2 linked regions of the Caenorhabditis elegans genome follow. The protein of the gene in region 1 purifies or fractionates together with the protein of each later gene. This does not show direct contact. Each region holds a gene or a part of one and is shown on either strand. Other genes may lie near its edges.

Region 1 (4,103 bases):
GAAGACACCATTCGAAGACAGAGCTTGGCCGAGAATCAAGGAAAGCTAGAAGTCATGGAAAATAAGAATCGCGTGCTCTCTGAGACAATAGAATCTCTTCAATCGCAGCATTCACAGGACACGGAGGTCATCAACGCAGGTCTGCGAACAAGAGGAGATCGGGTAAATCAATGGTCGTATGAATAAAAGCTAATTCGATGTTTTCAGGTGGGTTACGTGGATAAACTTCGCGTCGAGAAGAAAGCTCTCGAAGAAACCATTTCTCAACTTCGCTCAGAGAATGATAAACTGAAGAAGATCATGAGAGGAGAATCGGCCAATAAGCCAGTGCTTCGCAGTCAGACCACAAAGCCATAGGACAAATCGTCTTAATTTATTTCTGTAAATATTAGCCCCCCCCCCCCCGCTTTCTTCCATATCGAATACTCACTTTATTTTTACCATTGTCAAAGATATTTTTTCTCCCCTCATATTATTTCAAGTTCTATTCCCCCTATTATCATTTTGACACTTATTTTAGTTAACTTGGAGTAAATTTTTAACTGCTCTAGTAAACAAAAACTACAACACTGCTTCTATTCAATTCTCAATATGGACTTACGGTTCACTTGTATTGGTTGGAGTAGAATTTTAGACATCTTTTTATCTTTTAAGCATAGTCTTCGATGATCACGGAATTTTAACAACGAATGGTTGATATTTATACAAAAGGCTTATTCCAGGGGTGCGCGGCAATTTCCGAAACCATGTTTTGATAACTCGATGCTCAATGAAATGGCGTTGGCTCACGAGCAGATTGGATTTGATGTTCATTAATTATGGAAATTAGATAGTTTTCAGATTAATAATTGATCTCTAAATAATATTTCCAAAAACTTTTCTTAAATGTGCTGTGTTTTGATTTCAAAAACTCAACGCATGTTTCCTCCCCGAGGACGAAACAGCAGAGTTCGTGAAACTGATCGCAGCTGGAGCTTCCAGAGCCCTGAATATTCTACTGAATTTTGTTAATTTTACCTCCGTTTTCCACCTTGCTGAAAATCTGAAAATATTATTTCGGTTCTTCTTCGTTTTTATTAATTTACAATTCCAAATACTCGAATAAAGCTACACTGTTGAATTGAAGTTATTATTTTATCTCGAATTTTCGAATCGAACCAACAAAAAACAACAATAATAGTGAAATCTACACTAAAAGGAGCAGGAATTCAAACAATAATCATCACATGGCGGCTCCGTTGGCTTGAGCGTTGAGAAGTTGATGCTCCTGGAATCGTTGAGAAACTCGTTGTGTCATCTGCAAAAAGGGAATATGACAATTTTCACCATCTGTCAAATATCTTTAATTTTTTTAGTTTTTTGGAAATTTGCAATTGTGAACAACTTTTGAGAAACCTTTTTTTACAATTTTTTTAATGCGCAATGAAAAAATTAATAGAATACTAGTTGAAAACGCTGCAGTCTTTATACTTTTTCAAGCTAAAAATATTCAGAAATTACCTTGAGAAACTTGTCAAGACAATTGTTGGCGCACGATTCTTCTTTTCCACTGACTGTTCGGCTTCCAAACTCGTTAACACACGAGTTGAAACACTGCTCAGCAACCAAATTGTATTGAGTGAGGAAGTCACGGAACGTCTGGATGTTCTGTTCGCTGGTCATCTTAAAATTGATTATTAATGCGAAAAAATAAATATAGAAACAAGTTATATCAAAATGCACAGAAAAAAATTAAAGTTGTGGAAATTCTAGATATTTTACCGGAAGAATTAAAAAAATGACGTAAAAGTGATGTTCTAGTTTGATTATTATGTCAAACGTTAAAGAATTTTACAAAGAAAACATTGTTTTTAATTAAAAATAAATTATATCGAACAAAGTTGGTTTAACGCTCTGAAAACGAAAAATTTAATCTTAAAAATCTCAATTAAACAAAAAGAAAATAACATTTTTTGTGCGCCAATGTCCTTTGCTGGCGCATTCCTTGATCGTTATCTGCGTCTCTTCAACTTCACACACATTTCGTGCTCTCAGGATTTTTAACAGGGAACATATTAAATAGCAATTCATGAAAATAAATCCAATTTCAAATCATATCACCCAGATGTAAAACGTTGTGATCTTTTCTTAAAACACAGCGTCCGGTCTCGACACGACAGATTTTTTAATGTGGGAAAATGTGTGTGCCATTAAGGGGTACTGTAGTTACCAACTTTTGGGTTTTGTGTAATTTATTTTGATTTCCCTGAAATTTATTGAAAGACTCATACATATATTTAAAACACGTGATTAAATAACAAAAAAATTTATTAATCGAAAAATCTAAGAAAATTCGGCTAAAATGAGGAGTGAGGAACTACTGTACCCCTTAAAGGCACGCACCCCTTTCACAGTTGAAAAGATCGATCGTGTCGAGACCGGGTACCGTATTTTCCGGCTATAATCTAAAACCATATCACATCTGAGTGTTATTTAAAAATCTTTATTTTCTAAGAGCCGCAAGAAATTTTTCAACTTACTTATTCCCGATTTCAGAATTAGTATAGTCTGAGCTCTCTTGGGAGCTCAATCCCTGCAGAATTGCTACCTTTGTCAGCATAATACATGCTTATTAGTCTTAATCTGATCAGTCTAGCACGAGAGGAAATATATGAATGTTGTCATGGAAATATGACATGAATAAAATATCATTCTGTACTCGAGCTCAATATAAGACTCAGTGATATTTTTTAAATGGTTTTCAGGTGACTTTCTGAAAAATCGTCATAAATCAGAAAGAGTTATCAATATGCGAAAGTTCTTATCTATGAGACATAATTCGTATCAACTACATAAAGTGCAAACCAAGATTACTGGCAATTCTAGACAGATTTATATATCCTTTTCCACATAATCATCCCATCTTTGCATTTGCTCTTTTGATTTCAATTCACACATCACAACATACAAGCAGCAGGTCTCAAATGAATTTCTGTCGACAAATATTAAAACGAGAAAGTCCAGTGGGGTGCTGAGCATGTTTCGTTGCTCACTCATTTCTTTGTTTCTCTATGTATCATCAACTCTTTTCGTCTGCACCTTTGAAAATCATGAATGCCAATAATGAAGATTCTACTTTTATTATTTTTTTTTCTTGTCAGGTTTTATTTTGTTTCTGAAGAATTGAAAACTTTTATAAGTAATTTTATACGCCAGTGGGGGGGGGGGGGGGGGGAATTTAAAATTACTCATATGCACCATGGTGCTAAAATTATAAAATATCAATTAAAAACGATTTTTAAACGTTGTTGGAAACATCGAATGACCGAAAAAATTCAGTTGCTAAGTTTTCACCTAATATGAAATACTTCAAAAAACGTTATTCTATGAGTTTTATATTTTAAATTTTTGTATTTAAAGTTTGTACATATTGTATTGCAGTTCAATTTTTTTCAAAAACTTGACAATTTACCAAAACGTTGACTGAGAGAATTTTGAAGATTCTTTTTTGATTTTTAATTTAGTTATTCTGTGTTATTAGCCCATTTTGACATTAGTGTTACTTCACCTTCATTTATAAACAAATTTACTTCACTAGTTTTTTGGAAATTAAAATTTGCTCAACTTGAACACTTCACAATAACCATTAAAAAATAGTTCAGTTCACCAAGAAGATAAGTTTTTTTTGAAAACATTGCGATAATTCCTTCCCAATAGTATTAAAACAGTGAAAACTAGAAGCCTAGAATTAAAATTTCTCTAAAATTTCTCTTAATAGCTCCTGAACTCGAACTTCATATTAAATACACAAAGTTTGGCTACATTGTAGTGTTTAATCTAGACGGGTGCCGCGTATCAACCCTTCATAACTGTGTCAATTATGAATTCTCTAGTTGTTTTGATGATCAAAGAAATTTCACGTTGAAAATGTTTCTTTGTTTCTCTAAATATCTATTACAGACTTACAGTTTTCTCACAATTGATAAAAAAACGCTTTGTTTGCAAGAAAGACAATTTTTGATTTTAGTTGATTCTTCGCCACATGAACTGAAAAGTTCAATTACTTTACCTAACTTACCAAACTCGAAATAATGAGAGTTTCGATTTGAAATTTGTTTAATTGT
Region 2 (3,858 bases), on another chromosome or scaffold:
ATTCTTAAACGATTTGCTGTTCATTGTTTGATTCTGGAGCATGGCTATTACACAGCACAGGCAAATATTGATGACGTATGGCTCATCACAAATGGAACTTGTATGCCGAGAAATGTCGAGAAGTTAGAGGAAGGATGTAAAGTTAGTGACTAATGCAATTATTATTCTGAAAATTAAATACCTTTAACAAGGATCTCCCCCAGTTTATAAGTTGCCTTTCTTTCAGATTTCCGTCTCCGCTGATCGTCGATGGCGTCAAGAGAAGCTGTACAAACAAATGACTGATTGTTGCATCGATGAAGTGGCCACTCCACTGAGAAATCTCAAATTGAGCCCACAGGAGATTGTTGTCATCAAGATTATTGTGCTCTTCAATTGTGGATGCTCTTCTGGTGAGATTTCCAAGACATTTTCTAGAAAGTTGAAAATAATTCTTCCAGATTACTCTGAAATCACCGAAGCTTCTCGTCGCATTGTGCTAACTTTCCGTAATAAAGTTGTGTCAGCATTATTCGCTTATTATGAAAGTGTTGGACTGCAAAACTATGCAGAAAGGTTCGGGAATTTAGTTCTGATGCTGTCCGGAGTTTCATCGGCGGCATCATCAATGTTGGAGGCTTATCAAGTGAGTTTTCGATGAATTTAGAAAATATTATGTTTCAGTAAAAACATGTATAGAAAGTTAGCCTTGAAACAATGAGAAATGTACCAATTTTCCGGAAAAAAAGTGCCCGCCTTCTTTAAAGCGAGGCGCGGATTTTTCAAATTTTCATCAAATTCAAAAAAAAAAGATATCAATTGAAATATGTAGATATATTTCTTGAAAATTAAAGAATAATGTAATATAAATTTCCAGGTGATGCGTCTATTCAAAATCACACCATTCGATCCACTTTCCCAGGAACTTCTGTTCAATATCTGAAAATGTCTAAAAATTAGACTTCTCATAGCTTTTGTTTTGTTAAATTTTCCTCTTTCTATCTCCCAAATATCCCAGTGTAAATATCAAACTTGCTCAAAAATGATTCTTGCTCCGTGATCACACAACTCAAATACCTCGATTTCCAAAAGAATTTTTTAATTGTACATTTCCTCTCCCTCAACCAACCACACCTACGTATCACTTGTCACTCTTTCTTTACGGGTAGCGAATGTTATATTGATTGTTAATTAAATAACTAATTAAATTGAGAGAAAAAATGAAAGAATTTTATCTATTTCGAACTGTCAAATAACTACTAAAGGATACAAAAAAAACAATAAAAAGATAACAAGGAAGAAAAAACATTTAAATCTTCGCTCTCGGGCGGGTTCCAGCTTTTCCGAGTTCTGGTTGTCCAGTCAATCGATTGAAATTCATAATCACATCCATTGCAGTCATATTTTCAGTTGAAAAGTGCAATTTTTGACCGTCGTCTAAATTTTAAATATATATTTAATTGACCATTACTACCATAACTTACCAAGAGTCGCAACAAAAAATGGTGCTCGTCGATCATTCCGGATATCAGTTTTGACACGAACGTTTGGGTTGGTTAGGCGCACTTTTGGAGCCATTATCGAGTGCCAAAAGGTGCGAATTGATAGATTGTCGTGATGAAGTGGATCCAATGAGATATCGATTGATTTTACCTAAATAAAATTGTCACTTTTTTTACAATAAAAATGCAACTGTATACCTTTTGCAAATTGAGCGCTCTTGTAGCAAGTGCCAGCCTCTCCGCAGGATTCCATCGTACTCCATATCTGATTTTTGACCAAAGTTGACTCATTTTCTGAAACTCGTGTTATTAAAATCGTACATTAAAAAAATATATGAAAGGTAAAACTTGGCTGATAGACCATTATTTGATAATTGAAAACTAATTGTGCAAAAAATATATGTATTTGGATAGGGGAAAAAAATGAAATATGATGGAAATTCAAAAAAAAACAGGACGACAACAACAACAAAAACAAAAAAATGTAAGATTAAAGAGTGAAAACAATGAATTTCAAAATCCGAAATCACTGCTCCATGGTGTGCTCATTTTTGAACTCTCCGGCAAGTTCGCAGATTCTTTCCAAGTTTTCCTCCATTTGTTCAGTTGTTTCTGATTGAAGTTCATGGACGATGTCTTCACTGAAATAATTTTTGTTGAATTTCTGTAAATAAGAAAACACCAACCTATACGACTCTCTGGCTTCTTCCAAGAGAGTTCCAAAAATCTCGCATTCTACATTTTCTTTAATCTTGAATTCAGAATATCCACGAGATTGTAGACGATCATACAGTTTTTCTGTGGGGCATCGAAGAACTACGACCACGTCGAACCATCTGAAATCACGAACAATTAAACTCCTGTAGAACCCTCGAAACTCGCCTTTCTGGAAAAAGGTCACATCCGTGATAATCGACAACGATACCACCTTCATCACTGTCCAAACGATCTGAAATGTGATCCAAAAGCTTATCCTCGTCGAGAACGTGGCAGTTGTATTGCTCATCGAAATCTCCTTGCAAATTGTTTTCTCGAACTTCTTTGCTGACCTGGAAGAATTATAGGATCTTTAACTACTTAAAATTTCAAAATTTCACCTCAATAAATACAAATCCAAGCTTCTCAGCAACTTGTTGTCCGAGCGTTGATTTTCCAGTTCCGGGTGATCCAGTCACCAGGATATTCGGTCGTCGACGAGTTTCCGGTGTTGCCATGCTGATAAACTCATTCATTTTTTATCTGGAAAACAGGAGAGTGGTGAAATATGATAAGCTGTGAGTAAAACAGCAAGAACTGGAGGAAAACAATTTTAAGATTAAATTAATATTTTAATAAATTTACAGCGTGCTACAGAGACCCGAAAAAAAAAACAAAATTAAAGATTTTATTTATCTTCCGTATTGAACCTGCTTCAAGTCAGCTCGCTTTGACATGTCCATCGTCAAGTTTTGAATTTCCACAAGAGTTTCGTTGATCTGAAAACATGTAAGTGAAAACAATTGAAATATGCGACTGAGCCCGTCGGAAAGGGGTTGACCGGGGCGGAGCCACATATCTATGGTTGTCATGGATGCCTTTGATAAGCGTACAGAAAAGTAAAATATGAATGATCATTTGTTCTTGTAGGGAGCAAAGAGCAACTATCTTGAATTTGAATTTTTTTCAAAATTTAGTAACATCATTTATATTTTTAAAATTCAAAACTTCAAAGGCTTCAGCTAGACACCGCCATACATCAATCACATTCGATTTTTGAAAATATGGTTTCCTCCCAAAGAACACTTAATAAAAATACATTTTTGAAAAATTTTACTAACCATTCTGGAGACCACTCGCAATTGTCGTAAACAAATGAGACGAAGAAGACGAGCCGAAAAATGTACGGCTCCATTCTTTGGAGCTTGCATTCCAATTGGAAACGCGTTGATATTTAGAGTTTTCTGAAAGAAATTTTATTTTTAAAAAACCATTCGAAAAAAATCTCGGTTACCTTATTTTTCAATACTTCTTCAGTCTCTTCAGCAATCACATCATCTCCCAAATTTTCAGCAATATACAAACAAGCAGCTTTCATTAGAACTTTTGGATCGGGGTGATGAGCAGAAATGCCGAGAATTGAGCACAGAGCACGTGCATTTTCAGCAAAATTTGGTGAAGAATCTAAGAATGAGAATAATTAAATTTTATTTTTTAAAAAGGAATTTATGACTCACAATCAAGTCGGTTAAGTGGATTTTGGGAATCTCGATGTGCTTCGAGCACTTTTTCAGCTTGTTCTCTGAGCCGACTCGAGCAGAGTTCAGTGTCACCGCCTGGAAATACAGATATCGTGTATTTAAACGTATCACCTAATTTTGCAAACCTTTCTGTTCATAAA

Evidence for each region.
Region 2: the proteins of tin-9.1 (region 1) and mrpl-53 fractionate together in Caenorhabditis elegans (co-fractionation; one large-scale study listed by BioGRID). This does not show direct contact.

What each region holds. Positions count from the first base shown.
Region 1 is NC_003282.8:7,042,941-7,047,043, forward strand, and holds tin-9.1 (Mitochondrial import inner membrane translocase subunit Tim9), read right to left. Parts: upstream 1,663-4,103; coding exon 1,501-1,662; intron 1,298-1,500; coding exon 1,223-1,297; 3' UTR 1,118-1,222; downstream 1-1,117. Other genes in the region: klp-18 (Kinesin motor domain-containing protein), read left to right, coding at 1-162, 208-357. UniProt on the Caenorhabditis elegans protein: Mitochondrial intermembrane chaperone that participates in the import and insertion of multi-pass transmembrane proteins into the mitochondrial inner membrane.
Region 2 is NC_003280.10:9,595,539-9,599,396, reverse strand, and holds mrpl-53 (Mitochondrial Ribosomal Protein, Large), read right to left. Parts: upstream 1,776-3,858; 5' UTR 1,773-1,775; coding exon 1,680-1,772; intron 1,633-1,679; coding exon 1,464-1,632; intron 1,417-1,463; coding exon 1,289-1,416; 3' UTR 1,196-1,288; downstream 1-1,195. Other genes in the region: Nuclear hormone receptor family member nhr-19, read left to right, coding at 1-141, 227-392, 441-625, 857-922; E02H1.6 (Adenylate kinase isoenzyme 6 homolog), read right to left, coding at 2,008-2,122, 2,168-2,317, 2,364-2,530, 2,579-2,695; E02H1.5 (uncharacterized protein), read right to left, coding at 2,870-2,956, 3,299-3,421, 3,472-3,641, 3,695-3,793, 3,844-3,858.